Linked DNA regions of Elephas maximus indicus. Each later gene encodes a partner of the first gene's protein in a complex. Links are inferred from orthologs where the notes say so. Each region holds a gene or a part of one and is shown in the gene's direction. Other genes may lie near its edges. The genes, in order: GINS4 and GINS1.

Region 1 (16,108 bases):
GGCAGTTATCTCTAGAGAGAGAGGAAGAAGAATGGGGTTAGGAAAAGGAGCACGAACGGCTTGGATTGAATTTGTAATGTAATATGGTTTATTGTTTTCTATAAATCAAAAACCCAAACCCACTGCCTTCTAGCCAATTCCAACTCATAGCAAACTTATAGAACAGTGTAGAATTGCCTCACAGAGTTTCCAAGGCTGTAAATCTTTACAAAGCTGACTGCCACATCTTTCTCCTCCTGAGCAGCTTGGTGGGTTCAAACCACCGACCTTTTGGTTAGCAGCCCAGTGCTTAACTATTGTGGGCCACCAGGGCTCCCAAATTATTTTCTATACTTTTTTCAAATGCCAAAAGATATTTTTATTATGAAAACCACAACACGCGTTTGTCAATATAAATTGTTCTTAGGTGCTGTCCAGTGGGTTCCGACTCATAGTAACCCCACGTACAACAGATCGAAACACTGCCTGGTCCTGCGTCATCCTCACAATTGTTGCTATATTCCAGTCCTTTGTTGCAGCCACTGTGTCAATCCATTTTGTTGATGGTCTTCCTCTCTTTCTCTGACCCTCTACTTTACCATGCATGATGTCCTTCTCCAGGGACTGGCCCCTTCTAATAACATGTCCAAAGTACATAAGATGAAATCTTGCCATGCTTACTTCTAAGGAGTAACCTGGCTGTATTTCTTCCAAGACAGATTTGTTCATTCTTCTGGCAGTCCATGGTATATTCAATATTCTTCGACAACACCATAATCCAAAGGCATCAATTCTTCGGTCTTTTTAATTCAATGTCCAGCTTTCACAGGCATACAAGCCGACTGAAAATACCATGGCTTGAGTCAGGCACACCTTAGTCTTCAAGGTGATATCTTTCCTTTTTAACACTTCAAAGAGGTCTTTTGTAGCAGATTTGCCCTATGCAATATGTCGTTTGATTTCTTAACTACTGCTTCCACGGGCCTTGATTGTGGATTCAAGTAAAATTAAATCCTTGACAACTTCAATATTTTTCTCTGTTTATCATGATGTTGCTTATTGGTCCATTTGTTAAGATTCAATATAAATTATTGGTGTGCACAATATTTTAGGGTGTGGCACTATAAATGACCATACCCTAAATATTATGCATACTAGTTGACATCTTCAGTATCTCGAAGGGCTTTGGTAATTTGGACACAATACTCAACGCTCCCCTGGGATTTCACCCAAGTCTCCAGTTTCAAGTCTCCAATTTCAATTTCCCTTAAATCTCCAGGTCTATGTACATCTTAGGTCTCAATGATCCTCAAAAGACACTAGTCTCTGAGCTCTGCTACTTCTAATTATACCCGAAAAAGTGAAAAAATAAAAGGAATGGCTTTTCCTGCTTACAAGTATATATGCAGCCTAGTAGCAGCATATAGCCAAGGGTAAAGTTCAGGGTCAAGCTGAATTTCTCACTTAAAATAAACATGCCTAAGACGAAGCAAAGAGAGGATGACTGGGAAACTTTATGATTTCACTTCTTCACAAACAAGGAAAACTCCAAAGTGATTTCAGCCTTCACAAAGCTCCATGGGTCATACTTAAATCTTAACTGATTCTAACAAGTTTGCAACTCAGAATGATGGCTTCTTACAGTAAGACCAGCTCTGAGAGACCAAATGACCCAAGGCTTCTGGTTCATGTTTCAAAAAATACCAACTTCAGGGTACATTGAACACAATCGCATGACCACTTTCCAGTATTTTCAGCTGAAAGTATTCTCATAACTGAACTGAACATCAACTGAAAAATCTTATGCTTTCTATCATTTGGAGAGATATGCTAAAAATGGAATTTTTACATTATCTATTTTGAGCTAATTTAATAATAAAATTCTCAGATAATCGTTTGTGACAAGGAATATAATTAGTCATCCCATCCTCCTGCCTTCTGATAGACAGAAGGTGAATTTTAACTCAGTTAAGATGTTTACTTTCACCAGTGAGAAATCTGTAAGAATTGTTTAAAACAAGAAACCTAGACATAATTCCAGGGAGTTTGTAAGATGTCACGAATTTAAAATTTCACTTTTTTTCCCTATATTAACCCAGGTGTCTTATTCTTTATTATGTAAAGTTTTGACAACTCAGAAGATATATAATTTATAGATGCTCCATGTATAGATGAAAATAATAATGGTAATAATTGCAATGTAATACCATCTCTGTAACTCTAATTAAAAAATATGAAACTAAGAAAAATTTAAATACATGTTACTGTATTTTTTTCAGCTCAGGGTAACCATTTATACACATAAATGAATCTGAACTGTATTCTAAGAGTTGTTCTCACAGGGGACATCTTATCGAAAATGTCTCCACCCTCAACATTCTCTACCCTTTACCCAGCTTTATTTTTCTTCATCGCATTTATCACCACCTGCTATTTATAACAGGATATATGTGTCTAGCCCACTACCATAAAGTCAATATCGACTCAATAGCAACCCCATAGGACAGAGTGGAACTGCCCCATAGGGTTTCCAAAGAGCAGCTGGTGGATTTGACCTGCTGGCCTTTTGGTTAGCAGTCATAGCTCTTAACCACTACACCACCAGGGTTTCCATGTGTTACCTAGTCACTGCTTTAACCTTAATACCTATGTTACCCCTGGAACAGTAAATACTCAAGAAATCGTTGTTCAATGAAGAAATAAATGAATGAATGAATACTAGGCTTGGGGGATACCCTCAGAGAATTCAAAGTCTAAAAGGAGAAATAGAGACGTTAAAATTGCAAGATAATGTAATACATGTCATACCAGGATATTAGATGCTATAAACCATTCCAAACCCATTGCCATTGCCTCAATTCCAACTCATAGCGACCCTATAGGACAGAGCAGAACTGCCCCATAGGGTTTCTAAGGACAGCTGGTGGATTCGAACTGCAGACCTTTTTGGTTAGCAGCCAAGCTCTTATCCACTATGCCGCCAGGGCTCCATATGGTATAGTGGTGGCCTAAAGAGGGGATAGATGTGTTAGGGATGGTTTCACAGAGGAAGGGATATTTCAGCTGGGTCTTCACGGATGAATAGAATTTCATCGGGTAGTAAATGGAGAGAAACTCAGAACGAGGCAACAGCATGTGTGCAGAAAGGAGACAAAATCCTTCGTATCCATAAGTAATCTGACATAACTAGAGCCAAGAGGGTGCAAGGAAAAAAGCCCTGAGCGACAAGAAAGTCAGCAGCATCTACTTTTCTCAGTGACTAAAATCACACCAGCACCCCAATATCCTCCCTATATTTCTTGAGGATATTTTTACTCCATCTCCCAACAGATCGGTTTAGTATAGTTTTTCAAAGTCTAAAGGCAAAGAGATACCAGCCTAGAGGAGTTCTGATCACTACTCCCCAAGGAAAAGTTAAAGAATGTAAGTTAGTAACTCTCTGGGATGAGGAAATATATCACCTTACTATTCCTTGAGGAGGTATCAGAGTTTGACAGGTATCAATGCTCTGCTTCCTTATTGACAATGTTACTACAAACAGGGAGATGTCATCTACAGAGTCTTTGCCCAGACTTGTAAAGACTTTGTTAGAGCCGGTATTTGAAGCCAGATGCTTTGTTTCCTGGGTAAGTATTCTTTTCAGAAGATATGTGTACCCCTTCATAGGAAAACTGATTCTTTTTTGTTATTCCTAAGGTTAATTCTGTAGTCATGAGAAAAAATATCCTCCAGCCTCGAGAAAACAAAAGGCACAGGTGGAGGTAGGGCTTATTTGTCTGTGCCAGAAACTTGAGCTATGTTAAGACCTAACTGATGGTAGGAAACCCTGGTGGAATAGTGGTTAAGAGCTCAGTTCACATCATTTTCCTACAAAGGAACAGGCAGAAAAAATAAAGAACATAGCAGTAAAAGTTTGTACAGGCTTTTTAGTTTAGATAATGCTACAAAATTACCTAATTCAGCTCTGTCTCTTAAAAGTCTTTAAATTGTGGTTTCAGAACTCGGAAAAGCTGAGCTTTGAAAAGTTTATATCCTCGTTGGGGAGCCTGTATAGGTTCATTTAACATGACTGAAATCAAGACAAGATGAGAGTAAGGGGTGTAGGATCTAGAGTCTAGACAAAAGCAAGGAATTAGGGATATCATGAATTGTCAAGATTTCACATCTGTCAGAGAGATCCAAGCCTGGCCCTGGTTTCCTGACCCTTCCAGTATCCCTGCTGTACAGGAAGATATTAGGTTTTAATTATTGGCCAGAAAAATATTCACAAATTCCGTAGCCAATAGCTTTGCTCCTTCCTGCCTTCCTTAAACATGCAAGCTGCCCCCTTACTCTCCTATCCTTAATCCAGATCTTCATTCTTTCGAAAAAACCAAGGGTTAAACTTTGGTAACACTCCCCAAACTCATTGTCTTTGTTCTTAGCTGGTGAGACCAAGAAGGTGATGGTGTTCAGAGGAAGGAAACAGTGAAAAACAGCTGTTGACCAAATAATCTAGGGCAGTGATGATGTGAAAACAATAACAAAACCAAATCCGTTGCCATCGAGTCAATTCCGACTCATAGAGACTCTATAGGACAGAGTAGAATTGCTCCATAGGGTTTCCAAGGAGCCCCTGGTGGATTTGAACTGCAGACTTTTGGTTAGCAGCCAAGCTCTTAACCACTACACCACCAGGGTTTCCATGTAAACAATAATGATGGTAAAAAAACAAGCCAAACCAGTTGCCATCAAGTCAATACCAACTCATGGTGGCCCCATATATGTCAGAGTTGAACTTTTCCCGGCTGTGATCTTTTGGAAGCAGATCACCAGGCCTTTCTTCCAAGGCACCTCTGGGTGGGTTCAAACTGCCAAGCTTTGGGTTAGTAGCTATGCACTTAACTGTCTGCACCACCCAGAACTCACAATAATGATGGCTCACAGCAATGATGGTATTACCTTGTATTTAGAAAGCACCATTCTCCCAAAAGCCTCACAATACTGTAAAGCTATTTTTATTTTGTATTTTATCTTCAGTGATTTAAAAAGAAAAGAATAGCTTCATTCTTATTAATGTATATTCTTATTAACGTAAATTTCTGTAGTTATCTACAGGAAGCATCAAAAGAAGATGGAAGGAATACACAGAGTCACTGTACCAAAAAGAATTGGTCGACATTCAACCATTTCAGGAGGTAGCATATGATCAGGAACTGATGGTACTAAAGGAAGAAGTCCAAGCTGCTCTGAAGGCATTGGCGAAAAACAAGGCTCCAGGATTGATGGAATATCAATTGAGATGTTTCAACAAACAGATGCAACGCTGGAGGTGCTCACTCGTCTATGCCGAGAAATATGGAAGACAGCTTCCTGGCCAACTGGCTGGAAGAGATCCATATTTATGCCTCTTCCCAAGAAAGGTGATCCGACCGAATGCAGAAATTATCGAACAATATCACTAATATCACACGCAAGTAAAATTGTGCTGAAGGTCATTCAAACCTGCCTGCAGTTTATGTCAACAGAGAACGGCCAGAAGTTCGAGCCAGATTCAGAAGAGGGCATGAAACCAGAGATATCGTTGCTTACATCAGATGGATCCTGGCTGAAAGCAGAAAATACCAGAAAGATGTTTACCTGTGTTTTATTGATTGTGCAAAGGTATATGACTGTGTGGATTATTACAAATTATGGATAACATTATGAAGAATGGGAATTACAAAACACTTAATTGTGCTCATGTGGAATCTGTACATAGATCAAGAGGCAGTTGTTTGAACAGAACAAGGGGATACCGCGTGGTTTTAAGTCCAGAAAGGTTTGCATCAGAGTCGTATCCTTTCACCATACCAATTCAATCTGTATGCTGAGCAAAATAATCTGAGAAGCTGGACTATATAAAGAAGAATGGGGCATCAGGATTAGAGGAAGACTCGTTAACAACCTGCGTTATGCAGATGACACAAACTTGCTTGCTGAAAGTGAAGAGGACTTGAAGCACTTACTGATGAAGATCAACGACCACAGTCCTCAGTATGGATTACAGCTCAACATAAAGAAAACAAAAATCTTCACAACTGGACGAATAAGCAACATCATGATAAATGGAGAAAAGATTGAGGTTGTCAAGGATTTCATTTTACTTGGATCCACAATCAATGCCCATGGAAGCAGAGCTAAGAATCGAATGACACATTGCACTGGGCAAATCTGCTGCAAAAGACCTCTTTAAAGTGTTGAAAAAGAAAGATATCGCCTTGAAGAATAAGAGACACCTGACCCAAGCCATGGCGTTTACAATCACCTCATATGCATGCGAAAGCTAGACAATGAATAAGGAAGACCAAAGAAGATTTGACGCCTTTGAATTGTGGTGTTGGCAAAGAATATTGAATATACCATGGACTGCCAAAAGAATGAACAGATCTGTCTTAGAGGAAGTACAACCAGAATGCTCTTTAGATGCAAAGATGGCGAGGCCATGTCTCACATACTTTGGACATGTTATCAAGAGGGATCAGTCCCTGGAGAAGGACATCATGCTTGGTAAAATAGAGGGTCAGCAAAGAACAGGAAGACCCTCAATGAGATGGATTGACACAGTAGCTGCAACAATGGGCTCAAGCATAACAACAATCATGAGGATGGTGAAGGATCGGGCAGTGTTTCGTTGTGTTGTACATAGGGTTGCTATGAGTCAGAACCGACTTGATGGCACTAATAACAACATTTGCTATGACTGTAACCGCGGTTATTTTCTTCATTCAGCAATATTCGCAAGTTGTGTCGACAGGTCTTTTTATTCATTTGTGTAGAATTCTATTTTCTGTATCCTCTTCAACTTTGGGCCGTAGCTTTTTCCTTCGTATGCCATATTTCTAACTTCATGTTTTACTTGTCTGAAAATCAAGTTAGCGTGGTCACCTTGCTCTTTTAATCATCAGAACATTCTACAAATTCTGTACTCAAGTTTTATGTATCACCATCAAATGTCACTCTCTTGCTATCATAACCTACGTAATTATTTTTTATAACATGACTGTTTTAATGAATAGCATTCCATTTATATGGCTGTGTAATCATTTCTAAAAAAAAGAAAACTTCTTAATGGTGGGTGAAAATCAAGCAGGTATTTCCGATTTTTCTCTTCAGTCTAAATAATGTAACTTAAGACATGTCTTTCCTTCCTTCAGCAATTCTGTGCTGCATCCCCCAAGTAGCTTTATACATTCTTTTTTGACATCTCCTTAAAATACTCTTTTTTTTCACATGGCAAACTCATTTTTTCTAAAGTGTTTTTGTCTGGTGAATATTAGTTAGAATCAAAGATTGTAGAAGTGAAAGGGATCCCCCAAATAATTTTTGACCTATCTCTCTGTCTTCAGGCAAACAAATATGATTCACGTCACAGGTGGTGCAACCGAAGCTCAGAGAAGTGACTTGTTCAAGGTCACACCTTTACTAAGTAAGGAAACTGAGGCTGGCCTCCATCTCCCAGATGGACAAACAGGGAAAGATTGGAGAAGACAGTTGGCACCAGAAAAGGGAAGTCAGTGTCTGCATCAGTAAAATAAGTAACTGGTACTTCTGTGTAGATGTTATTTGTGCCAGATTAAATGCAGGGAATACCTGGACTCAAGTCTATAATACTCAAGGATATTTTTCACAAATCTGCAATCGGGGCAGGGTTCACCCGAGACAGCTCGTCTCTGATCCCCTCCACGCGAGCTGGAGCGGCTTGAAGCTGACTGAGGGCTCTACCATCTGAAGACTCATTCAGGCGATTCACGCTGGTGGCCGGAAGGCAGACGCCGCCGGATCTCCTCAGCCGCGGTGGCGCGGCGCCCCCTCGCGACCGGACTCCCGTCACCTCCATTCTCGAGACTGACGCGAGACTGAACCTCCGCGACGCAAGTCTCCGCCCCTTTAGGGAGGGCGGGGCAAGAAGGCTGCTGGTTCCGCCCCCGGGCCGTGATTGGTTAGCGTCGTCCGTGCGTGGGGACGTAAACTGGGCGGAAAGGGTCCGAGAGAAGCGCGGGAGCTGAAAAGCCGCGAGTGGGGAACGTCCGGGAAAGGCTTCGTAGGAATTGGCCTGTTTACCCTCCGTTTCCAGTTCGTCCTTGGGAGGGCCCGGGCTGCTTCCCAGCGAGCTTCGTCCTTGCCGTCTGCTACCTCGGAGTGCCTCTGCCTCCCAGCACCTCGCGTGAGCACCCACGTGGGACCTCTGTACTGTGTGTGTGCGCGCGCGCGCCCGCGAATGTTTGGGGGAATGGGTGGTCTGTGTTGGTGCCAGCGAAAGAGGAGATGGGCAGGAGGAATTTGCTCAGCTTCCCTGAGGTTCTGGGGACATACCCTCGTCCCCCAACCCACCGCACAACTTCCTAAGGTAGTTTGGTGTCTGCTGTCAAGCCCTGTGCTGAGCGCTGGGTCCACACAGATAATGTATCTCCAGCACTTAGAAGTGCCAGGCTCTGAGCAATGCGGGATTCATATTTGAACTGAAATGAATACAGTCCCTGATGAAAAGGAGCTATACTGGGAAGCCAATTAAAGGAATAATCATTATATGGTGTGATAGGTGCAGAATTCGAAGTGTACGTAGTGAAAACAGATGTAAGGGGGCACCTCTTTGAGAACTTGATACCTGACCTAAACCTTGAAGGAAGAAACAAAGAATTGAAAAATCAGAGTCTGTAAATGATGTAGCCACTGCCAATGAACCTGACAACCCCACATGAAACTTTCCTTCACTGTATGTATAATTGTCTATTTTTGTAAATAGAGCCCTGGTGGCGCAGTGGTTCGGAGCTCGGCTGCTAATCAAAAGGTTGGCAGCTGGAACCCCCCAGCCCCATGGGAGAGAAAGATGTGGCAACCTGCTTCTGTAAAGATTACAGCCTTGGAAACCCTAGGGGGCAGTACTACTCTGTCCCTATTGGGTCACTATGACTCGGAATCAACGTGAAGGCAGTGGGTATTCTTGTAAATATATGGGAAACATATTGCAGGATATTGACTCTTTTATTTTCATTAGGTTCCTGGTTTCAGAAATGACAGAGGAACTGAATCTTATGGAACAGGACTCTGATGGAGGTAGTGATGAGGTGGTCCTTACTCCTGCAGAGCTCATTGAAAGGCTGGAGGAGGTAAGCATCCCAAACAGAATCCCCTAGCTCCAATCCAACTGGGCAAATTTGAGGAATCAGAAAATGAAGAAATAGAATTCAAGGTTTATTTCAAGAGAAATAGGAAGTAGGGGGCCATAGTCTACTGGAGACCTTGTAACATCAAACACAATTCTTAAGTGGTATCAGAAAGGAACAGTTTTGGATTCATTTAATAGCATGGTTCACTAGTATTTACATTTAAGGTTCTACTTGTATTTGTGAGGGCTGCAGAGGTGTTGTGGGGATTTGTCGGTTCTGTATGTTGTTGTTGTTGTTGTTAGGTGCCGTTGAGTCGGTTCCGACTCATAGCAACCCTATGCACAACAGAACGAAACACTGCCCGGTCGTGCGCCATCCTTACAATCGTTGTTATGCTTGAGCCCATTGTTGCAGCCACTATGTCAGTCCACTTCGTTGAGGGTCTTCCTCTTTTCCACTGACCCTGTACTCTGCCAAACATGATGTCCTTCTTCAGGGACTGTACCTTAGTCTCTTGAAATAACTGATGTTTCTCTGGAGAATGTCGGGTTAACAAGAAAGTGCTGAAACATGTTGAGGAGAAAACTGGCCTATTCTTCCTTTTCCTCTCATATACTTTGAGTCAGATGTTGTCTTTATTTCCACTGCTTACCTAAAATTTCTGGGCTACTTCTTCCTTTCAAACCAAACTTGTTGCCGTCGAGTCAATTCCGACTGATAGCAACCCTGTAGGACAGAGTAAAACTGCCCCGTAGGGTTTCCAAGGCTGTAAATCTCTACAGAAGCAGACTGCCACATCTTTCTTTTGCAGAGCAGCTAGTGGGTTTGAATCGCTGACCTTTTAGTTAGCAGCCTAGCACTTAACCACTGCACCACCAGGGCTCCTGAGAGATGCACAGGGACCTCTGAAATAATGATAATATTCTGTAACTAAGTTGTGCACACACAGGTGTTTGTATCATCGTTCTCGTGGTTAATATGTACCTCATATTCTTTTGTAGCTGTTCAGTATTTAATAACACCAATTAAAAAGAAAAACTGCTTTTTAAGTTCTCCGTGATAATTTGATCTTTTCTCATTAATTAAGCTACTTAAAAATATAGGTTGTCTTCCAGGTTAATTTTATACATCTGCAATAATTTGATGGATACGGATATTATCTAATTGTTTAACTTTGAGTTGCCTGATTACTAATGAGATTAAATATTTTCTCTTCATGCCTATTAGATCTTTTAGTTTCCTCCCTGTGGCATGCCATTATATATCCTTTGCCAAATGTTCCAAAGAGTTTTTTTCCTTTTCTAATTGATGAGTTGTGGTAGTCCTTTGTTGTTTTGATTGTGACCCTTTACAATATATGTTGCGATATTTTTCCCAATCTGTTTGTATTGTTTGTCATACAGTCATTTAAAATTATGATATTGTCGAATTCATCAAAATTTTCTTCATGTAACATTTTATGTTCTGTTTAAGAAGACCATCCCTACAAAAAAAAAATCAAAAAGTATTCTTTAATATTTTGTTCTCCTGTATTTAGAGTTAGGGTTTTAGTGCAGTGATTAAGAGCTCAGCTGCTAACCAAAAGGTCACCAGTTCAAATCTACCAGCTACTCCTTGGAAACCCTATGGGGCAGTTCTACTCTGTCCTGTAGGGCCGCTATGAGTCGGAATTGACTCAACAGCAACAGGTTTTTGGTTTGGTTGCAATAGTATTACAGAAGCTAACCAAAAAACCCACTGCCGTCAAGTCAATTCCGATTCATAGCGACCCTATAGGACAGAGTAGAACTGCCCCGTAGAGTTTCCAAGGAGTGCCTGGCGGATTCAAACTGCAAACCTCTTGGTTGACAGCCGTAGCACTTAACCACTATGCCGCCAGGGTTTCCACAGAAGCTAAAGCACTTGAAAAAATTTTTATGGTAGTAACAATAACAATAGCCAGTATTTAATAAGGTGTCTTGATAGGGATAATTGAAGAAACAGAGACTCAAGGAAACCAAAAGAAATAGATGGAGCTTGATGAGCATGTAATTCTGACCTATGCTAAAACTAAATTTTCTGTAATGGAAAGATAAGTATAGTTTTCCTTAGTTTCCTGTGGCTACTTCAGTTCTCTAAGCCTTGGAAGTTTCTAGAATGTACCAAGCAGTTAGGCCTGAGTCATAAACTAGGGATTTAACCTCTTGTCCCAAAACTGTTTAATAGATGAATATCCACTTCCATTGTGATCTTTTAAATTCTTGGGCTTTTAGTGTATTACTTAAATCTCTTTTTTCTCATCAATACTATATCCATTTCCTCTCAGAGATACTACGATGGTGAATGAAAAAGTGTGTTTAAAATGCTTGGAGCTTCAGGAATGAAGAGATGTGTAGATTTGTTTAAAGTGTTAACTTCATCTCTCAAAATGGAAATGGTGTTAACTTCATCTCTCAAAATAGAAATGGTGCTGGTGCCCCCTAGTGGGAAATAGCCTGTGAAAAAATGGGAAAAAAAAAGTGTTAATGCTACTCGGTAAAAGGTACTGTTTGAATACTAGGGAGTGTTACTGTCAGCAATAGGTATTATACTTTAACATTTTTGAAGTAATAGTGATTTTTTTTTTTTTTAATCTTGGTCGAATATAAGGTTGTGAACACAGCCTTCTCACTAAAAAAAGAAATGGAAAAGCCGTCATTGAACAGCTTGTCTTCAAAGCATTTTCAAGTGGTAGGCAAACTAGTTTTCTTTGCCTGAGAGATCTGTGATTTTCATGGGGTGCTATGAGTCGGAATCGACTCGACGGCACTGGGGTTTGTCCGGGATACTAACCCAAGGGGTTATTTCTCCTCCATTGTGAGTGATGCTTTTTTTTTTTTTTTTTTTAGGCCTGGATGAATGAAAAGTTTGCCCCAGAGCTGCTGGAAAGCAAGTCTGAAATTGTAGAATGTGTCATAGAGCAGCTAGATCACATGGTAAGAGCTGCTTGTCTCAGGGTTACAAAGGAAGAGAAAGTTAAAAGGGTTTGGTCAGCATAATGAGAAGTTGTGGTATGACGACAAATCTGTTTTGTTTGGCCCAGCCCAGTATTTTTTAAAATACTGAAATGGTTGCCAACATTTACAAAGCATGAGAGCTCCCATAAGAATCTGGGTATCAGCTTCCCATGAAAAATCTGAAGACCCAGCATCACTGGCCCCACATTTCTACAAAGAACAGTCGACCAGAGCAGGCTAAGAGCCACTCCTTTCTGTGTGCTTCCCTGTTCCCCACACCCGCTAACTACCCACCTTTCTCATATACCTTTCCTGCCTGGCCCTCGTAGTCATTTGAGTTTGTGATCCTTGGCTTAGGTGATCTGGGTGTAAATAATTATCAGCATTAAAATTTTTGACATTTTACAGTGTCTTAACTGGTGTTTTAACTCTGCTTTTCAGACCCCTTAGACATTTTCTTCTGTGTGCTGTATCACCACCTTTACAATTGGGTTAGCATCCTGGGCCCTCCTGACTGACCACATTCAGATTCTATTTGCGCAGTCATTTTCTAAAAGTAGATAAATATTGTTTACGTTTTGTATAGTGAGACTTTAGGCTCATGTTTTTCGTGTAATTAAAATTAAAACTAAAATGAGAGCTCTTATGACTTTTAGTTTTGGTTCACCTTTGAAATGTAGTCTTTGGGTCCTAAACATTGCCAATGATGGTGGTCCTTGTGGGCTATACATAGATTGAACAAAAAAGATTCTTAGTCTTGAAAAATCATGATTTTTATACTTGGATTTCTCCTTTAATAGGAAGAAAATCTCAGGAGAGCCAAAAAGGGGGATCTGAAGGTCAGCATCCACCGAATGGAGATGGAAAGGATCCGCTATGTCCTTAGCAGCTACTTGCGGTGTCGGCTCAGGAAGGTTTGTCATGGAGATAACTGTAGGCATTACAGCAATGCAGTCTCTGATACATGCTGAGAGCTCTGAGGAGGAGAAGTCGGGCTGGGGCCTGGGAGAGTCTAGGGCCTGAAAATACTGCGGAGCCTCCGCTCTCAGAGGGCGGGAGATTGTTCTAGAGAGGCCTAGCTGGAACATCTGTTGCACCACTCTGAGGGTAACACACGGGGTTTTATTGTATTTATCTGCTATGTATGGTGCCCCCTGGGGTTACAACGTAGTAGTCCTGAGGCAGAGTTGTCGACAGTGATTGACTAGAGAATACTGAGAGGAGAACTAGTTTTAAAAATTGTTTTCTATCTGTCAGACAGTCAGTGTCAAACAGACCATGCTAATTTGACATATAGAAAAAGGAAATTTGCAAAACATTCTTAATTTGTATGATGTGTGTTCTAACCCTGGCAAGTTCTTGAAGTTTCTTCTCATTGGGTTCCACCTGTCCCCTTAGGTATTATAAAACTAACAGAGTGCTGCAGGTATCTGAAGACAGCTAACACGTCTCATTTAAGTCTTCTCTCAGCTACACATTCCAACCATTTAAATCAAACTTACTCTCTTGCTGTTTTTTCTAAAACAGTTCTAGTTTGTCAGTATCCTTCTTAAATTGTGCCATTTGGAACCGAATACAATATACCAGTTGTGGTTTGGCCTTTTTTGTAAAAAACAGGATGATCATTTCCCTTATTCTGGATATTAAACTGGTAGTAATACCACCCAATATCACATTAGTTTTTTGACAGGCACATCTTACTAAACTCATCCTGTGCTTATTATTAACTCTAACCCTTGCTGATGTTTTAAGTTATTACCCCATCCTATCACCATCCTGTATTTGTATGGCTTGGTTTTTTCCTCCTAAATATAGAGCTTATTACTTACTGTGGTCTCCATGTCTTGATTTTGTTACCTAATATATTAGCTGTCTCTCTCTCTTTTTTTTTATTATGGTGAAATATATGTATATAACAAAACATGTCAACATTTTTACATGTACAATTCAGTGACATTAAATAAAAACAAAACCAAACCCATTGCCATCAAGTCGATTCCGACTCATAGTGACCCTATAGGACAAAGTAGAACTGCCCCATAGGGTTTCCAAGGAGCACCTGGTGGATTCAGACTGCCAGCCTTTTGGTTAGCAGCTGTCTTGGTCATGTAGTGCTGCAAATTCTGACTTAGTCATCTAATGCTGCTCTAACAGAAATACCACAAGTGGATGGCCTTAACAAAAATTTATTCTGTCACAGTCTAACAGGCCAGAAGTCCAAATTCAGTGCGTCAGCTCCACAGGAAGGCTCTCTCCCTCTGTCGGCTCTGGAGGAAGGTCTCTGTCATCAATCCTCCCCTGGTCTAGGGGCCTTTCCACTGAGGAACCTCGGTCCAAAGGACGTGCCTTGCCCCTGGCACCACTCTCTTGGCAGCATGAGGTCTCCCTGTCTCTCTGCTGTCCTCTCTTCTGTATTTCAAAAGAGATTGGCTCAAGACACAACCCAATCCTGTAGATTGAGTCCTGCTTCATCAACGTAACTGCCTCTAATCCCATCTCATCAACATCATAGAGATAGAATTTACAACACCTAGGAAAATCACATCAGATGATAAAATGGTGGACAGTCACACAACGCTGGGAATCATGGCCTAGCCAAGCCGACAGGCATTTTTGGGTGATAAAATTCGGTCCATGACAGCAGCCAAGCTCATAACCACTGTGCTACCAGGACTCCTCAGTGACTTTAATTGCATTAAATTAGCTATCTCAACACTTTGTCATCAGCAGCTTTGATAAGTATGCCATCAAAGCTCTTACTGATTGATTACTAGGACTGGGCCAGTGACAGATTATTCCATCAGAGATTTTCCTCCAGATGACAGCCATTCATTGAATCAATATTCTTTATTCAACTGTTTATGAATCTCCCAGTATAAGCTGTCACCCAGCCCCAGGTTTACAGTTTGCCCACAAGGTATCATAAAGACTTTATCAGATGTTTTGAGAAAATTGAGATACACAGTATACACCTGTACCCAACACCCCCAAACAACAAGCCACGCAGTTTTGTTTTCTTTTGATTGGGTAAATCCTCTTCATGTTAATCACTGCCTTTTCTTTGAGTTCACAACCATCTTTTAAATTATGTATTCTAATATATGACCCCATGTCAATGTTAAGGACTCTAGTCTGTATTTGAATATTCCCCACCTTTCCATTTTTGAAATTTTTGAAAATCAGGAAATGTGCCCATCTTTAGTCTTTCACACTCTTCCTGAGCTCAGTAATTCTTCCAAGGTAATGAAACTACATAGGCTTTTAGTACACTAAACAATATAGGATTAGGAGCAATTTACATATGATAGGAGAAAGCTTTAGAAACTTAAACTTCATATAAATACTAATTTAATTTATCCAGGAATATAATTGATCCTAGAAGACTTAAACTCCATTAAAACAGACTAAATGTCCTTTATTCGGCCTTAGGCTCCTCCTTAACCACTGTCATTTCCATACTTGTAAAGAACATTTTTTGAAAGCGATACCCATGACACCATTCACTCCAGGCCAGTCCCTTCCTGGTTCCTGACAACATTCCTTTTCTGTAGCTCTTTTACTGACAGGACACCTTTTTGTAGCTTTTAGCATTTTTTTCATAGTTCTTTACATTTTGTCCAAGCCTCACCTCATTCCGGGCTTTGTCCTTAATGAATGTTTTCTTATAATTCAGTGTCACTATTCTATGTTTTTATTCTATGTACTGGAGTGCTGGTGGCACAGTAGTTTAGTGTTTGGCTGCTAACCAAAAGGTCAGCAGTTTGAACCCACCGGCTGCTCCTTGAAACCCTATGGGGCAGTTCTACTATGTCTATAGGGTCGCTATGAGTCAGAATTGGCTCAAGGGCAATGGTTTGTTTTTTTTTAATTCCATGTGCTGGTGTATTCTGTGTGTCCTTCTAGCTTTTGTATATATTTCAGCTCAAAGAAGAACACCCTGTATAATTATGTAAGTTTTTTAACTGATATCCCTTTCTATCCCTCTTAACTATCATTTACAACTGTTCGCAGATTTTCTCTTTTGAA
Region 2 (15,759 bases), on another chromosome or scaffold:
CACTTAATGACAAAAATACTACAAGCGTTCTCATGAAAGCTGGGGATAAGAACTTTGCTCTTAAAATACAATGCACTTGGAAAGGAGAAAGAAATGAGACATAAAAATCGGAAACCAAGGGACAAACTTCTTATTTGCAGCTGACATGATAACGTACCTGGAAAATCCAAGAAAATTCACCAGAAAAACTATTAGAAACAATAGCATAAATAAGGTGCTGGTTACAAAATTAATAATACAACTAAGAAGAATATGTAGTATAAGAAAGGATTCAATTTTCGGTAACAAAAAAGATAAAATAACCACGAATAAACTTTTAAGAAACGTGCAGGGTTTCCAAACAAACCAACTGCGAGAAGACATTTCTGAGACAATTGAGGAAATCTGTATGTGGACTGGATAGCATGTAACAATAAATTACTGTTAATCTTGATAAATATGATATCACTGGGGTTATGTACATTTTGAAAAGTCCTAATTTGTTGGAGATACACAGTGCAGTATTTATGCATACAATGATTTGTTTTAAAATACTCCAGTCCTCTACCCTACAAAAAAATGGATGGGATGAGGGATAGTTGCTTCAGATTGGCAAAATATTGGTATCTGTTGAAACTAAGCAATGGATACACGGGAGTTCATTATATTATTTTCCTTACGTTTATACATTAGAAAATATCCACAATGAAAAGTTTTAAAAAATGTGCAAGGACTAAAACAAAACCCATAGGGTTTGCAAGGAGCAGCTGGTGGATTCGAACTGTCGACCTTTTGGTTAGTGGCCAAGCCCTTAACCACTGTGCCACCAGGGCTCCTTTGGACCAAAACACAAAGGGGCATAAAAGACATAATAACTATAAAAAGCAATAAGCTTATAAAAACACACCAAAAAATGCTGCCTAATAATTAAGACAGGAGCTCTGGTGGCTCAAAGGTTAACTGCTTGGCTGCTAACCCGAAAGGTCAGTGGTTGGAACCCACCAGCATCTCTGAAGGAGAAAAGCTATGGCTGTCTGCTGCCATAAAGATTACAGCCTAGGAAATACTACGGGGGCAGCTCTACTCTATCCTGTAAGGTCACTAACAACAACAATTAAGAGATGCAAATTAAAGCTACAAACCAGATGCCATTTTTCACCAGACAGGCAAAGATCAAAATATCTGGTAATGTACAGTGCTGGTTGAGAGTGTGTGTGTGTGCGTGTGTGAAGACACCTTACATTGTTGGTGGGAATACAAATTAGTACAACTTCTTTTGAGGGTGATTTGACTTTATCTTTCAAAGTTATAATACATACACCCCTTGGTCCAGCAATTCCACTTTCAGGATAGCTACAGATATTCATCCAACAAGTATTTTCTGCTACCCACCATGTGCCAGGCACTGAAAATAGGATGGTTAAGGAAACAATGTTCCTGCTGCGGGGTGGGTTAGAAACCATCAACCTTTCAGTTAGCAGAGTGCTTAACCATTGCACTCCAGAGCCCCGTACCCCATAAGACTATAGCCTAGGGAACCCTATGGGGCACTTCTACTCTGTCACATGGGGTTGCTGTGAGTCAGAACCAACTCGACAGCCCCTAACAACGGACCACTTTAGAAAGGGACAAGAGGCAGGGGTGGTGGAGCTTTAACTTCTTTGTGATATTTTTGAGCAAAATGAAATTTTTTTTAATTGGGAAAAAAATTGATAATAGCAACTTGAAAGATTATATAGGAACCTTAGTGCGCAGTGAGTTTATGTTAATGAGGGAGGAACAGCTCAGAAAAGGAGGGTGAGAATGGCTGAATGTAATCAGTGTTACTAAATTGTACATGTAGAAACTGTGGAATTGATATGTTCTGCTGTGTATATTCTCAACAACAATAACAAAATATACAAAATTCAGAAAAAAGAAACCTTTGAAAAAAGAGAAAACAATGTTCCTGCCCTCATGGAGCTTCCCCTTTAGTGCAGAAAGAGATGGTCAATAAAACAAGTCAACAAATGCACCTGTAATTATAATATCGGGTCAGTGATAAGTGCAATGAAGAAAAAAGTTAACAGAACAAAGGGGTTGAGAGGAAGGAGAAGGCTATTTTGGAAGACTGGTCCCAGAAGATCTCTTGGAGGAGACGGATGAGCAGAGGCCTGAATGAAGAAGATAAAGCATGAGAATGCTGGAGAGAATGTTCCAGGCAGTAGGAAAGGAAACCAGGAATAAGAAACAAATTTGGCCTTTCCTTTGTTTTTCTTTTCATTCCCCTAACAGCCTTTTGTTCATCCAAAGGATAGGTATGGGCACCACTTAAATCTCTCTCTTCGACTCCTCACATGAAAATTGAAATTAATCAGATGCTTTTAATACAAGAAGGTGCTAGTTCAGCATTGTTTCCCCCAAACCTTTCTGTGCACAACAATTTGATTTCTTCAATGGATGGATTTCTAATTTTATCGAAGGGCTATGCCAAACCTGTTAACAAAAGTGCATTAAAGCTAAATTATGAGTTTTTAATGCACATAAACATTTCCACAGCAAAGAATACAAATTAGTTTTACAAAAGATATTGACCAGTTGCTAAGTCATTTTACACACACACACATAGTCCTGTCCTTCTGGCAGAACTGAGTCATCAATTTGGAGGGTTCTATAAAAAACAAATTTTTTTCTTTTTTATAGTTTAATTTCAAGATCTTTTAAGCAATGCAGTTGAAATTCTGGTCTTCTTTAGGGGCTATTTGGATAAATATTTTATAGTGAAGTGGCCAATGTCAATTAAAGGCATTCTAGTTGACCTCAACAGAAATGCCTTTGCCACAAGACCTGTTAACACTACACACTAACTTCTTCAAACAATACCAAGAAACATCAAGGCTCCAAAATTGCCATAAATGATACATTCTACAAACAGCCAAGTAATTAAAGGACCAGTAAGCGAGGAGAGAAATTTGACCCTGTGAAGTATGCTCCTATCTCAATTTGGAAGCCAGCGTTACATAAATTCATTCATCCCAGTGGGAAAAGGCAAACGACCGAAGGGCTCCAAGACTCTGGTGGGTCCCTTCTTGGCGGGTCTCACTCATCGGGGCTGCCTTTAAGGGCCAGCAGCCCCCTGCACATCACACGACAGGTTTCCCTCCAACAGCTGCAGATGCCGTACACCCCACCTTTCCCTGGGCGCCGCGGGCCACTTAACCGCTCCCCAAAGGTCCGGCATTTCCGAGCAACGAATGCCATTCCTGACAGCTAGTCACCCGGAGAGGACAAGGATCGCCGAAGTGAGAATCGGGGCCCTGGGGAGCTTCCGCACACGCAATCCGGGTAGGGGGGTCAGGTTAGAGGGGCGCCGGCTGACCCCCGGCTTGGGTCCGGTTAGAGGGGCGCCGGCTGACCCCCGGCTTGGGTCCGGTTAGGGGGGCGCCGGCTGATCCCCGGCTTGGGTCCGGTTAGAGGGGCGCCGGTTGACACCCGGCTTGGGTCCGGTTAGAGGGGCGCCGGCCGACCCCCGGCTTGGGTCCGCTTAGGGGGGCGCCAGCTGACCCCCGGCTTGGGTCCGGTTAGAGGGGCGCCGGCTGACCCCCGGCTTGGGTCCGGTTAGAGGAATCGGGCTAAGGGGGCGCCGGCCGACCCCCAGCTTGGGTCCGGTTAGAGGGATCGGGCTAAGGGGGCGCCGGCCGACCCCCGGCTTGGGTCCGGTTAGAGGGGCCCCGGCTGACCCCCGGCTTGGGTCCGGTTAGGGGGCGCCGGTTGACCCCCGGCTTGGGTCCGGTTAGAGAAATCGGGCTAAGGGGGCGCCGGCCGACCCCCGGCTTGGGTCCGGTTAGAGGGGCGCCGGCCGACCCCCGGCTTGGGTCCGGTTAGGGGGGCGCCGGCTGACCCCCGGCTTGGATCCGGTTAGAGGGGCGCCGGTTGACCCCCGGCTTGGGTCCGGTTAGGGGGGCGCCGGCCGACCCCCGGCTTGGGTCCTGAGCAGAGGACGAGGCGCAGACGCGCTCCAGCACTCGGGGTCCCCAGCCCCTCCGCGCCTCGCCCCCGGCCCTCCCTTCCCCTCCCGCGCAGGGTCGTCACTTCCCGGCCGCTCCGACCCCGCCGCCGAAGGGGCCCCCGCGGGCTCGCCGCGGAGAGCGGGCGCGCAGGGACCGAGGGCCGCGGGGCACCGGGGTCGATGCGGAGCGCGGCTCTCGGCAGGTAACTCGGAGGCCTCGGGGCCGCCCTTGCCGGCCGGGGGAAGAAGGCGCCCGGAGACGGGTCGGGGAGGACACCGGGGACAGGGCCCAGGCGCGGGGCGCTCCGGCGGGCAGGCAGCCGGGGGAGGGCTCGGGAGCTACCTGCCGGCCAGGTGGGGCCCCGCCCCGCCCTGCGCAGCGCCTCACCTGCCCAGAGCCCGCTTCATGCCCGCGTCGGCCGCGCACCGCGGCTCGGCCGCCCCCGCGCCCGGCAGACGCAGGTTCTGCTTCAGGCGGCAGTCGGCGTCCAGCGCCGCGGGGGCGGAGGCTGAGGAGGACGAGCCCGCGGCGACGGAGCGCTCATGCTCCAAGGCGACGGGCCCGGCCCGCTTCCTCATGCCGCGGCCGACAGGGCCGGCCGCCGAGGGCGCCAGCTGGCCTCGTCCGCCCGCCTGCGCCGCTCCCGCTGCAGTCCCCGCCGCCCGGAGCCGGAGCCGGAGCCGGAGCCGGAGCCGCCGCCGCCGCCGCCGCCGCCGCCGCCGCCGCCGCCGCCGCCGCCGCCGCCGCCGCCGCCGCCGCCGCCGCCGGGAGCCCCTCACATCTCGGCCGAGGCCGCGGCGCGCGACAACGGACTACACCCGGGACGGCGGGTCACGCCGACCAATCAGCGCCGGGATCCCTCCCCCGCTTCCCGCCCCCAGCGTTCCGCGTCCGGAGTCCCGCGGGGAGCGCGGCCCGCCCCGCCAGCCGGGAGCCATCTTGGGGAAGGGCGGGCGAAGCCGAGGCTAGCGTCATCGTAAGGGCAAGGCCGAGCGGCCCGCAAGCCTGGCTGGGCCTGGGCGCGGACTCCGCCGGAGTTGAGCAGCTGCGGCACTGTCGCGCCCCAGGGCGCCAGCCGGAAGGCGAGCACTGGGGAGGAGTGGCCACAAGGGGCCGCTCTTCCGCTCGCATCCAACGCTGGAAACCCGGCCCAAGTGAATTCTGGGAATGTTCTTATAAACCTCACAATTCTGCTAGTTGGGGGTGGGGGTGGGGGCGGGGGCGGGGGTGGGGATGGGGGTGGGGGCGGCTAACACATATTTCTCTGCCTCTGGGAATGGTAACTCCATCCTTGCATTACCTCAGGCCAAAACCTTGAGGTCATCAGTGATTTTTCCTTTCTAATGCCACAGTGGGAGCCTCTGGGTGCTGCAAACCATTAAGGTGTCACTGCTACCCCAAAGGCTGGAGGTTTATGTCCACCCAGAGGTGCCTCAGAAGAAAGGCCTGGCGATTTACATCTGAAAACTCAGCCACTGAAAACCCTACAGAGCACAGGTCTACTCTGACACACATGGGGGGTTGCGTGAGTCGGAGTTGACTGACAGCAGCTGGTGGGCCACAGCATGTTGCCTTTCAGCTCCACCTTCAAAATCAGTCTAGGACCCAATCACTGCTCACTACCTCCACCATCTCTCACCTGGATTACTTTAATGGCCTAGCTGGTCTCCTTTGCCCGGCTTCAGTTGACTTAGACACCACAGAGGTCTTTTTAAAAAAAGTTTTTTAAACCTAGGTCAGAGCCTGTCACCGTCAAAACACTTTAATGGCTCCCCATCTCACACAAAATAAAACCGAAAGTTTATGCAATGGCCTAAGGGCCTGTCTGATATGGCCTCCATCTTCTCCTTACTCACCCTGCACAGGAAGCACTGCCGCCTCGTATGCCTTGCACACAGGCCACCCAAATTCCCCCCCTCACACTTCTGCACTTGGCATTGTTGCTGCCAAGAATTCTCTGCACTTCCCACTGCCATGTGTCCACATTGCTCCCTCCCTCCCATCTTTCAGGTTTGTGTCTTCTCTGAGCACTTTAACTCAAAACCCTCAGACCCCCGCACCATCACTCTGTTCTCCTTCTTTGGCTCATTCTTCATAGCACATATCACCAATATATCCGTCAAGAATATATCTGTGTATTGCTGTTTTCCCACACTAGAACATATACCAAAGATTTTGTTCACTGCTTTGCTCATTGTCTACAACAACGCTGATACATCTAAGTCAAACCAAACCATTGCTGTCGAGTTGATTCCAACTCATAGCAACCCTATGAAAGTTAATATTTGCTGAGGGAAATGATTGAATCACACAATCCCAGAGGTTGTGATCCCTGTAAAATGATCCCCTTTTACAGGTAAGGAAGTGAGTCTCAGGGACATTGAAGGGCTTTACCTAGGGGCCTAATGAAAAATATTTATACTGTAGCAGAAAAGCCTGTGAATAGCTGGTCTTTGGGCCACAATCCTGCAGGACATTCCAATGTAGAATTCTGTATTTGACTAAAAAGGAAAAAGAAAAATTTGGCTAAGTTATCCCTTACTGTAAAGCTGAAATGTCACTCTGCATAAGGATGAGATTCTGAGGCTTTGTTTTTAAAGCAGGCCTTTCCCTTACCCATACCTCAGATCAGATATCTACTGTACCTGTATTTGGAAAAGAGCAACATAGTCTCTAGGGTTAGCTAGAATTAATCTGAGTAATATTGCTCTTTAAAAAATAGCCCAATTAGACCCATCGTTTCTATAGCAATGACTTCTACCTTTGATTCTATGTGGTTATGAGATTTTCCATAGATTACCTAGTCAAGATAACACATGAATTCCTATTAATCTTAAAAAAAGAAAGAAAGAAAAAGCCTTGCCATTGAATGAATTCCAATTCATAGTGAGGCTACAGGGCAGAGTAGAACTTCCTCACAGGGTTTCAGGGCTGCAGTCTTCATGGAAGCCAACTGTCACATCTTCCTCCCTGATGGCAGCTGGTGGGCTTAAACTGGTTCACACTGCAGACCTGTTGACTGGCAACCCAGAGCATATCCACTGCGCCACCAGGGCTCCCCCATTCATCTAGGGCATCCCCCCCCGCCCAGGCCTGGTGAGGGACAGTTCTACTGGGTCGTGTACGGTCGCTGTTAAGTCAGAATCAACTAAACAGCAATTTGTTTTCTTTTGGTTTTGGTAGACCTGATGACAAGGTATACTTTACAAACATTTTAAATGAGTGCTTAAAAATCAAAAAGGTGGTACAGTGGAGTTGAAAGTGAAAAACTTTAGTTCAGAGTCTATCACTTTAGCAGCTGTTTCCTAGGCAGTATCATGAGTCTAAATAACCAGTTTTATGGATAATCGTTAGAAGTCCACGAAGTATACATCGACTGAGGACGTACCCAGTAAAAGTCGTTTTTCCTTTGCTATCAAACAAACAATAACACTGCAAAACTAAACAAAGGAAATGCCGAACATAGTATTAATGCACACCGTTTCTGGGACTTTCCGTCTCCGAGCGCCCCTTTGAACCTTAACAAAAATGAAAGCGTCAGGTGGGGAAAAAAAGCAAGCTGCGGGACGTGCATTTATCCGAAGCTGCCCGGCCCGCCACATCGCAACTCAAAAGCCGTCTCCGCTTAGCGAAGGCTTCACACCGCCACCCACCGACTCCTTCCCGGACGCCGGGTCCCCAGCCGGAAGGACCCCCCCGACCGGAAGGGACCCCCCGGCCGGAAGGGACCCCTCTCCCGGAAAGGGCCCCCCCCGCCCGGAAGGGGCCCCCCAGCCGGCAGGGGCGCCCGCCCGGAAGGGGCCCCCCGCCCGCAGGGGCCCCCGCCCGGAAGAGGCCCCCCAGCCGGCAGGAGCCCCCGCCCGGAAGGGGCCCCCGCCCGGAAGGGGCCCCCCGGCCGGAAGGGACCCCTCTCCCGGAAAGGGCCCCCCCCGCCCGGAAGGGGCCCCCCAGCCGGCAGGGGCCCCCGCCCGGAAGGGGCCCCCCGCCCGCAGGGGCCCCCCGCCCGGAAGAGGCCCCCCAGCCGGCAGGAGCCCCCGCCCGGAAGGGGCCCCCGCCCTCGCTCCCGCCCCCCGGTAGTACGCCTGCGCAGCGGAGGCGACGGTCCCTCTTCAGCCGCCATTGGCCGCCGGAGTCAGGAGCACGTCCCCATTGGTTGGGTGGGTTTAGCGCCAAAACGCGGACCGGTTGCGAAGTTGAGGGGCGGGAGCCCAGAGAAGGGAAACGGTAGGGGTAAAGGTGCTGAGGGTCCGGCGACCCTTCGGCGTGAGAACGGACGGTTGACGAGGCCGTGGGGCAGGGGTGCATCCGCCATGTTCTGTGAAAAGGCCATGGAGCTGGTCCGCGAGCTGCGCCACACGCCGGAAGGGCAGCTGCCCGCTTTTAATGTGAGAGGGGGAGGGAAGGGCGGAACAGAGGCGAATGGGGCCTGTCGAGGGGGCGGGGCTGAGGAGGTGTCCTGGGGTGGAGGGGGCCGGTGGGCGGGGTCTGGGCCGGCGGGGGGGGGCCCTGGGCCGGCGGCCGGGGCCTAGGCCGGCGGGGGGCGGGGCCTGGGCCGGCGGGGGGCGGGCCCTGGGCCGGCGTGGAGGGGGGGTCCTGGGCCGGCGGCCGGGGCCGGGGCCGGCGGGGGGCGGGCCCTGTGCCGGCGGGGGGCGGGGTCTGGGCCGGCGGGGGCGGGGTCTGGGCCGGTGGCCGGGGCGGCTTTCCCGCCGTTTTACCTACGCTTTTCCTGGAGGCTTTACTTTCCCACCGTTCCAGTTCCAAGGTCGGAAACGAGATTTGGGCCGCGGCAGGACAGAATATAGAAGAAGAAGGCATTGGCTTATGTTTCTCGGGGATTTGAGTTTTTCATATGACTGTATCTCCTTTAGTGTTTTTCCATTTATAGCTTTGTTGTTGCTCCTTCGTTTAAACAAAACATGTAATGGTTGCCTGATAAATTAGCATTTTTTGGCGCACGCAGGTAGCAAAGTTTAGTGGTTAAAAGGTAGGGCTCTGAAGCCAGGCTGAGATTCTGGCTCTGTTGGGTCACTTTGGACTAGTTACTTGAGCGTTCTGAGCGCTCAATTTTCTCATCTGCAAAAATGGGGACGATCTAATAATACACAGTTCACGTTGTTGTTAGGTGCGGTGGCGTCGGTTCCGACTCATAGCCACCGCAAGTACAAGAGAACCATGCATAGGACAGAAGGAAACACTGCCTGGTCCTGCGCCAGCCTCGTAATCGTTATCTTTGAGCTCTTGTTGCAGCCACTGTGTCAGTCCATCTCGTTGAGGGTCTTCTCTCTTTCGCTGACATCCTCCAAACATGTCCAGAGTATGTGAGATGAAGTCCTGGTGTAGTGTACAGTGAGGGTTACATGAGTTGGTCCTCTGAACGATTCCTGGCACACAGTGAGGACTGAGTCACTGTGTGCTGTTTCTACTAGTACTGCTATTGTTACTACTATTACTATTATTATTTTTCTATTATGAGAACTTCAAGCCAGGAACAGTGCTAAGCACTTAGCCTTCATTGTCTCTCCTTTGAGGTTTAAGCTGTTGCTTTCCTTTTTTTCCAGGCATAAAGGGAGACTTGAGATTAAGTAACTTGCTGGTGATGACAGTCCATAAGGGATTGTTTTAGTCATCCAGTGCTGCTGTAACAAATACCACAAGTCGACGGTTTTAACAAAGAGAAGTTTATTTTCTCACAGTAAAGTAGGCTAAAAGTCCAAATTAAGGGTATAAGCTCCAGGGGAAAGCTTTCTCTCTCTGTTGGCCTTCTCATCAGTCTTTCCCCAGACTAGGAGCTTCTTCGTGCAGGGACCCTGGGTCCAAAGGATGCGCTCTGCTCCTGGCACTGCTTTCTCGGTGGTATGAGGTCATAGTCCCTGTCCTTTTCCCCTTCCCTTCTCCCCTCCCATCTCTCTGCTCACTTCCCTTTTTTATATCAAGAGATTGCCTTAAGACACAGTCCAATCTTGTAGGCTGAGTCCTGCCTCACTAACACAACTGCTGCCCATCTTCCCTCATTAACGTCACAGGGGCAGGATTTACAACATATAGGAAAATCACACAATACCAGGAATCATGGCCCAGCCCAATTGAAAAACACATTTTGGGGGGGACATAATTCAATCTGTGACAAGGATAGAGCTAGAATTTGAACCTTGGTAGTCTTGCTCCAGAGCCTGCACTTTAAATGATATAGTAGACTATCATGGGGCAGCCACTGTGTATATGTCAGGAAGAGGAGCAGGAAAACAGGTGAATAGAATGCAGCTTGGTAAGCGAAAGCACAGAGTGTAGACCAGGAAGATAAAGGAGAAAGGCCATTGTGAGTTGGAGCATGGGGCTTGAGGGGCATCTGAGCCATGCCTGGAAGGATGAGTCCCCTGAGAAGGCAATGAGTTTTGTTTTGAAAATTAAAGAGCACCTAATCCTACAACTAGGTCATTTTACGGAACAAGAAACTCAGCCAAGAAAAACTGTGGGTCAAGTTAAGAGATCTGTCTGAACTCAGGGCACTTTGGAAGCCTTTGAATACAGGTTTCCTAGGTTCCAGTGTATTGTTCTTTCAATTCAGAACAGTTAAACAAAGAACAGTTAGCTCATTTAAAAAGTTAGGAGACAGCAGTGGCAAGTTTATTAGAGATTTTGGAAGGTAGCAGGTATGTAGGTGCAAAAATATGGCTCCACACTGGGGTTGGAGACTTTAGGGGTCATGGTACACGTGAGGACACAGACCCACAGAGACAGAGTCCCTTGTCCACACAGGGTTGGCCTTGGAACCCAGGTCTTTTCACCCTGAGTTTAGCACTATTTTCCACTGAAAAAGTATTTTACGATAGCTCTGTTGGTTTACCACTAAGACCTTTGGGGGACCAGAGGTGGGTCTTAAGCAAACCAAAACTAAACCCGTTGCTGTCAAGTCAATTCTGATTCATAGCAACCCTGTAGGACAAGAGCAGAACTGCCCCATCGGGTTTTCAAGGCTGTAGTTAGTCTTTACTTAAGCAGACTGCCACATCTTTCTCCTGCAGAGCATCTGGTGGGTTCTAACTATTGACCTTTAGGTTAGCATCTGAGCACTTTAACCACTGTGCCACCAGGACTTCTCTTGGAACTGTCAACCGTTTGGCTAGCCAAACTCTTAACTACCGTGCCACTAGAGGTGGGACTTAGAAGTTATAGAATTAATCCTTCTTTTAGGTCTTAGTTTGGTGGAGCACCTTTTGTCTCATTAGTGCCTTCCACTGATGAGCCCATTTGGTTGTCAGGTGAGTCAAGAGCCTGGGAGACTCACCTGTGAGGGTGGGCCAGTCTCACACACAACTGCAGCAGAAGATGGAAAACTGATCTGAGGGTGAATAGGCCTACCACCCATGCAGGCAGCTGGTACCCTGGGGTGTGGGGGCACAGGTCAGCCTTATCCACTCCAGAATATCTCGTGGTTAGTTGCTGTCTTGGTCATCTAGTGCTGCTGTTACAGAAATACCACAAGTAGATGGTTTTGACAAAGAGAAGTTTATTCTCTCCCAGCCCAGTAAGCTAGAAGTCCGAATTCAGGACACCGGGTACAGGGGAACGCTTTCTCTCTTTGTCAACTCTGGAGGAAGGTCCCTGTCATCAGCCTTTCCTTGGTCTGGGAGCATCTCAGCGCAGGAAGCTCAGGTCCAAAGGAGGTGCTCTGCTCCGGGCACTGCTTTCTTGGTCGTATGAGGTTCCCAACTCTCTGCTTACTTCCCTTTCCTTTTGTCTCTCAAGAGATAAAAGGTGGTGTAGGCCACATCCCAGGGAAACTCACTTTATTTTGGATCAGGGTTGTGACCTGGTAAGGGTGTTACAATCACCCTAATCCTCATTAACATAAAATTACAATCACAAAATGGAAGACAACCACAGAATACTGGGAATCATGGCCTAACCAAGTTAATATACACATATTTTGGGGGACGTAATTCAATCCATGACAGTTGCTATGCTCAGTAAGCTGAAATGATGACCCACTTTCTACATCCAGAACTGTGGTAGATTTCTCTAGGAAAATCAAGTTAGGCTCCTAGGGGCTTACAGCCTAAGGTAGGGGCACAGAACTGATATGAGTCCCACTAGAGATGAAAATTTAAACCTGAAAGTTTGTGTATATTTTATGAAACCACTTCTGTTTAGATTTTTATATGTCTGCAGATCTATTAATCACACAAGAGTTTTTATTTAAAACAGTACTTGCTAAACAAGGGGAATATTTACGGTGGTGTAGTGGTTTTTTTTTTTTTTTTTAGTGGTTAAGTGCTATGGCTGCTAATCAAAAGGTAGGCAGTTCAGATCCACCAGGTGCTGCTTGGAAACTCTGTGGGGTAGTTCTACTCTGTCCTGTGGGGTCGCTATGAGTCAGACTTGACTCGACAGCAAAAGGTAATAAATCATGGCCTTTTTTAAGTTGTGCTTCATTCACCAGGAATGGTATCTTTCCTTGTATTTGAGCAGCGTTCAGCAGTTGATATTTGTAATTATACCAGTAGTGCCAAAACATTTTTGCTAATGAGTATATTTTGGCCCTGAAAGTACACGGGGTCACTTCTGTTCAGACGGAGCCCGGGTAGTGCAGTGGTTAAAAGCTGACGGCTAACAAAAATGTGGACCTTTCAAATCCACCAGCCGTTCCTTGGAAACTCTGTGGGGCAGTTCTGCTCTGTCTTGTGGGGTCTCTTATGAGTAGGAAACAACAGGATGGCAACGGATTTGGTTTGGTTTTAAGATCGTTGACAAACCTATTGTTTAACATTTATGACTTTCAGGATTCTAAAATTTTATCTTTACAAGGGAAAAAATTTTTGCCTCAAGGTGGATAGTAGGAAAAACTTCTTTGACCTTTCTGTTCTTCTTGCAGTACAAACCAAAACACTGTTCCTTTTTTTTTCTTTCTTTATTTTTTTTGGGGGGGGGGTGTAGTAACCTTTTAAGACCTTTTTTTTTTTTTTTTTAGTTAATAATAAAATATTTATGTGCTTTTGTCGTGCTTGATTGTCTCTGTAAGGCTATTGATTTTCGCTGAGATACATAAATACGAATTTGAATCGACTTGATGGCAATGGGTTTGGGTTTTTTTTTAATATATAAATCAAGGATAAATATAGTACAGATACAAATGGCTTTGGGGAATTAATGAAGTTTTATATCAATATCAGTTTATATATTCTAGGAGGATGGACTCAGACAAATTCTGGAGGAGATGAAAGCTTTATATGAACAAAACCAGTCTGATGTGTAAGTTTTGATAAGATTGATATTTTAAAACAGTTTAAGAAGTAAGGTACTGAATCAGATAACCTTGTATCATATTTTTTGTTTGTTTTTAATTCTCTACGTACCTGATCATATTCTAGCTATACGAATTAGCACAGAACTAATTTGGTCATTGTTGTATTCACATAGTGGATGCTCAATATGTATTTGTTGTTTGATATGACTTGACAGGAATTATGGCAGACTTGAAAGAGATGAGCCTTGAGCAAATTAAAAACCCTAACAAAGTGGAATATGGACATCGTTTTCACTGTCTTCATTAATAGATGCCTCCAGGGCTCCTAACAGATGCTTTAATGCATTTGGTAAAGGGAGTAGGGCAGCATGTTAACATTGAGGAGCAGCAGTGATTTCTGGGAGCTTGAGTCGAGTTTGCGGAGAACTAGTGCTGCAAAAGGCCATAACTCAAGAGGGCTCTGGACTTAGTAAGAGCCGAGCATGGTATTTGGCACAATGGAGAATTTGGGCTATAAGACAAATCAATACGCTCCTATGACTTGGTGAAAAGTACCAATGAAAGAGTACCAGTTAATGGATCAAAGTTGAGGTTTTCAGGACCTCAACCTAAAGAGAAGTCGACTCTGTGACGTGTGGTTTCATCTTTGGCCTTGTTAGATACAATGTTTTTATCAGTTTCTTGGATATGAAAATCAGTGGCATGCTGGTAAGATTTGTAGAACACAAAACCTAGGCACATTTCCAACTACTAAGGACAGATAGAGAAAAATCTTTACAAACAGAATGAGCAAGTACACCGTACAGGTTCTGACCCTTGCAGTAAATGTAAGATAAATGTCCTGAAATATGGTCCCCAAGCCATTCATTCATTCATTCAACCAACACATATTTATTAAACAATTACGTGCCAATAAGTGGCTCTGGTACGCAACGCAATCAAGATTTCTGCCCTCATGGCACTCAGTCTAATGGGGAAGACACGTACTAAATACAAATACACACACAGAAAAACTAGTTACAATTGGAATATGTGCTGTGAAGGAAAACAACAGAGTGATGTGAGAGAATAACAAATGGAAGACACAGTTTAGACTGGACTAGGAGCCTCTCCATGCAGGAACCTTGAGTCCAAAGGATTTTATCTTCTCCTGGCTCTTGTTTCCTGGTGGTATGAGGTGCCACTATCTCTCTGTTTATTTCTCTTTTTTATATCTCAAAAGAGATTGGCTTAAGACACAACCTAATCTTATAGATCTCATTAACATAACTGTCCCTAATCCATCTCATTAACATCACGGTGACAGGATTTACAACACATAGGAAAATCACAGCAGATGACAAAATGGCAGACAATCACACAATACTGGGAATCATGGCCTAGCCAAGTTGATACACATAGTTTTGGAGGACACAGTTCAATCCATGACAGACTGAAAGGCAGGAAAGTTCTCTCCAGGGAAGCGATGTTTTCAGCGGAGGCCTGAGAAGACGCAGGTTTGAGCGAGGCAGTAGTTATGGGGAGAGAGCATTCTGGGCAGAGGGAACAGGTCTGCCACAGCCTTGAATCATGAGGGAGGACAGGATGCTCACGAAACTGACGCCAGAGGAAGGCCAGTGTGGCTGGAGCTTAGCAGGTGGGCACAAGTGACATTAGAGGAGATTTTTAAGTTTGTGGGATGGGCAGTGTCCCATCATGTTTTAGGTCATCCTCGCTGCCATGTGGACTGGGGCTAAGAGTAGAGGGAGGCACACTGGTCAGGAGATGGTCGGCATCACCCAAGTGGTAGAAGATTGGCCTGCACTAGATAGTGGCAGTGAGAAGGTAAAGAGTGAACGGATGAAAGAAATATTTCAGGGGTAGCAAAGCAGGCCTTGGCCCTGGGGGTGGGGAAAGAAAGAATGATTTTCCTGTATTTGTACCATTTGCAAATTCATGATTCAAAATTCTGTCCCTCATCCTCTTGGTGTCTTTTCTGGGAAAACAATCACTGTTAGCAATTTCTGGTTAAAGTTATTTGTGAGAACAAATGTTTTCCTTCTAAATTACCCATGTGTAAATGTGATTTTTTTTTAGGACATTCTTACGTACTTAACAAAGTACTTGGTGTTAGGTGGGTGTATTTTATGTGTACAACGTGGAGTATAAGTCTGACTGTCACAGGGTGGCAGAACAGAGCTAGAAGACGCACCTGGATGGGTGTGCGTTTTGCCTCTACTTTCAGGGTTTAGTACCTGGAATGAAGCATGGATGAATCCTTTTCGTATTCATCCAGTTGCTTTAAAAACTCCAAAGTAGATTCTTATTCATTCTGTGCATTGATTTTAAAATGTAATGCCTGTTTGGTGTCTAAGGAGATGTACATTTTATAGGGTAAAACCAAAATTTTTTCCCTGTCTGTGTGAATAAAACTGAACTACAGCAGCTGGAGATTAGCAAGTACTTGCTGGATGAGTGAAAAACCATGCTGACTCCATTTTAGCGTAGTTTATCATAGTGAGGATTTGGAAGTACACCGAAAGAGGAGTAGTACGTGTAATAACATGA

The links.
Region 2: the proteins of GINS4 (region 1) and GINS1 are in contact, whole or in part, in a crystal structure (PDB 2E9X), measured with the Homo sapiens proteins. The link is inferred for Elephas maximus indicus from reciprocal best matches to the Homo sapiens genes GINS4 and GINS1. Residues at the interface, in NP_115712.1 of Homo sapiens: Met55, Glu59, Glu83, Arg84, Arg86, Tyr87, Leu89, Ser90, Leu93, Arg94, Leu97, Glu101, Phe104, Glu125, Glu126, Phe129, Glu132, Phe133, Asn136, Thr137, Tyr140, Leu141, Val144, Ala145, Leu146, His148, Met149, Pro150, Pro151, Asn152; in NP_066545.3 of Homo sapiens: Phe24, Leu29, Leu33, Met36, Tyr40, Leu69, Leu70, Arg73, Thr76, Val77, Leu80, Tyr81, Leu84, Arg88, Trp92, Glu109, Glu110, Trp113, Asn116, Tyr117, Ser120, Leu121, Tyr124, Ser127, Leu128, Gly129, Gly130, Asp131, Leu134, Ile136.

The regions. Positions count from the first base shown.
Region 1 is NC_064840.1:58,955,128-58,971,235, reverse strand, and holds the start of GINS4 (DNA replication complex GINS protein SLD5), read left to right. Parts: upstream 1-7,981; 5' UTR 7,982-8,192; exon of another isoform or gene 8,193-8,347; intron 8,348-8,995; 5' UTR 8,996-9,011; coding exon 9,012-9,107; intron 9,108-11,974; coding exon 11,975-12,061; intron 12,062-12,882; coding exon 12,883-12,996; intron 12,997-16,108. UniProt on the Homo sapiens protein: Required for correct functioning of the GINS complex, a complex that plays an essential role in the initiation of DNA replication, and progression of DNA replication forks.
Region 2 is NC_064843.1:68,354,684-68,370,442, forward strand, and holds the start of GINS1 (DNA replication complex GINS protein PSF1), read left to right. Parts: upstream 1-8,061; 5' UTR 8,062-8,278; coding exon 8,279-8,353; intron 8,354-13,138; exon of another isoform or gene 13,139-13,152; coding exon 13,153-13,217; intron 13,218-15,759. Other genes in the region: lysophosphatidylserine lipase ABHD12, read right to left, coding at 4,356-4,546. UniProt on the Homo sapiens protein: Required for correct functioning of the GINS complex, a complex that plays an essential role in the initiation of DNA replication, and progression of DNA replication forks.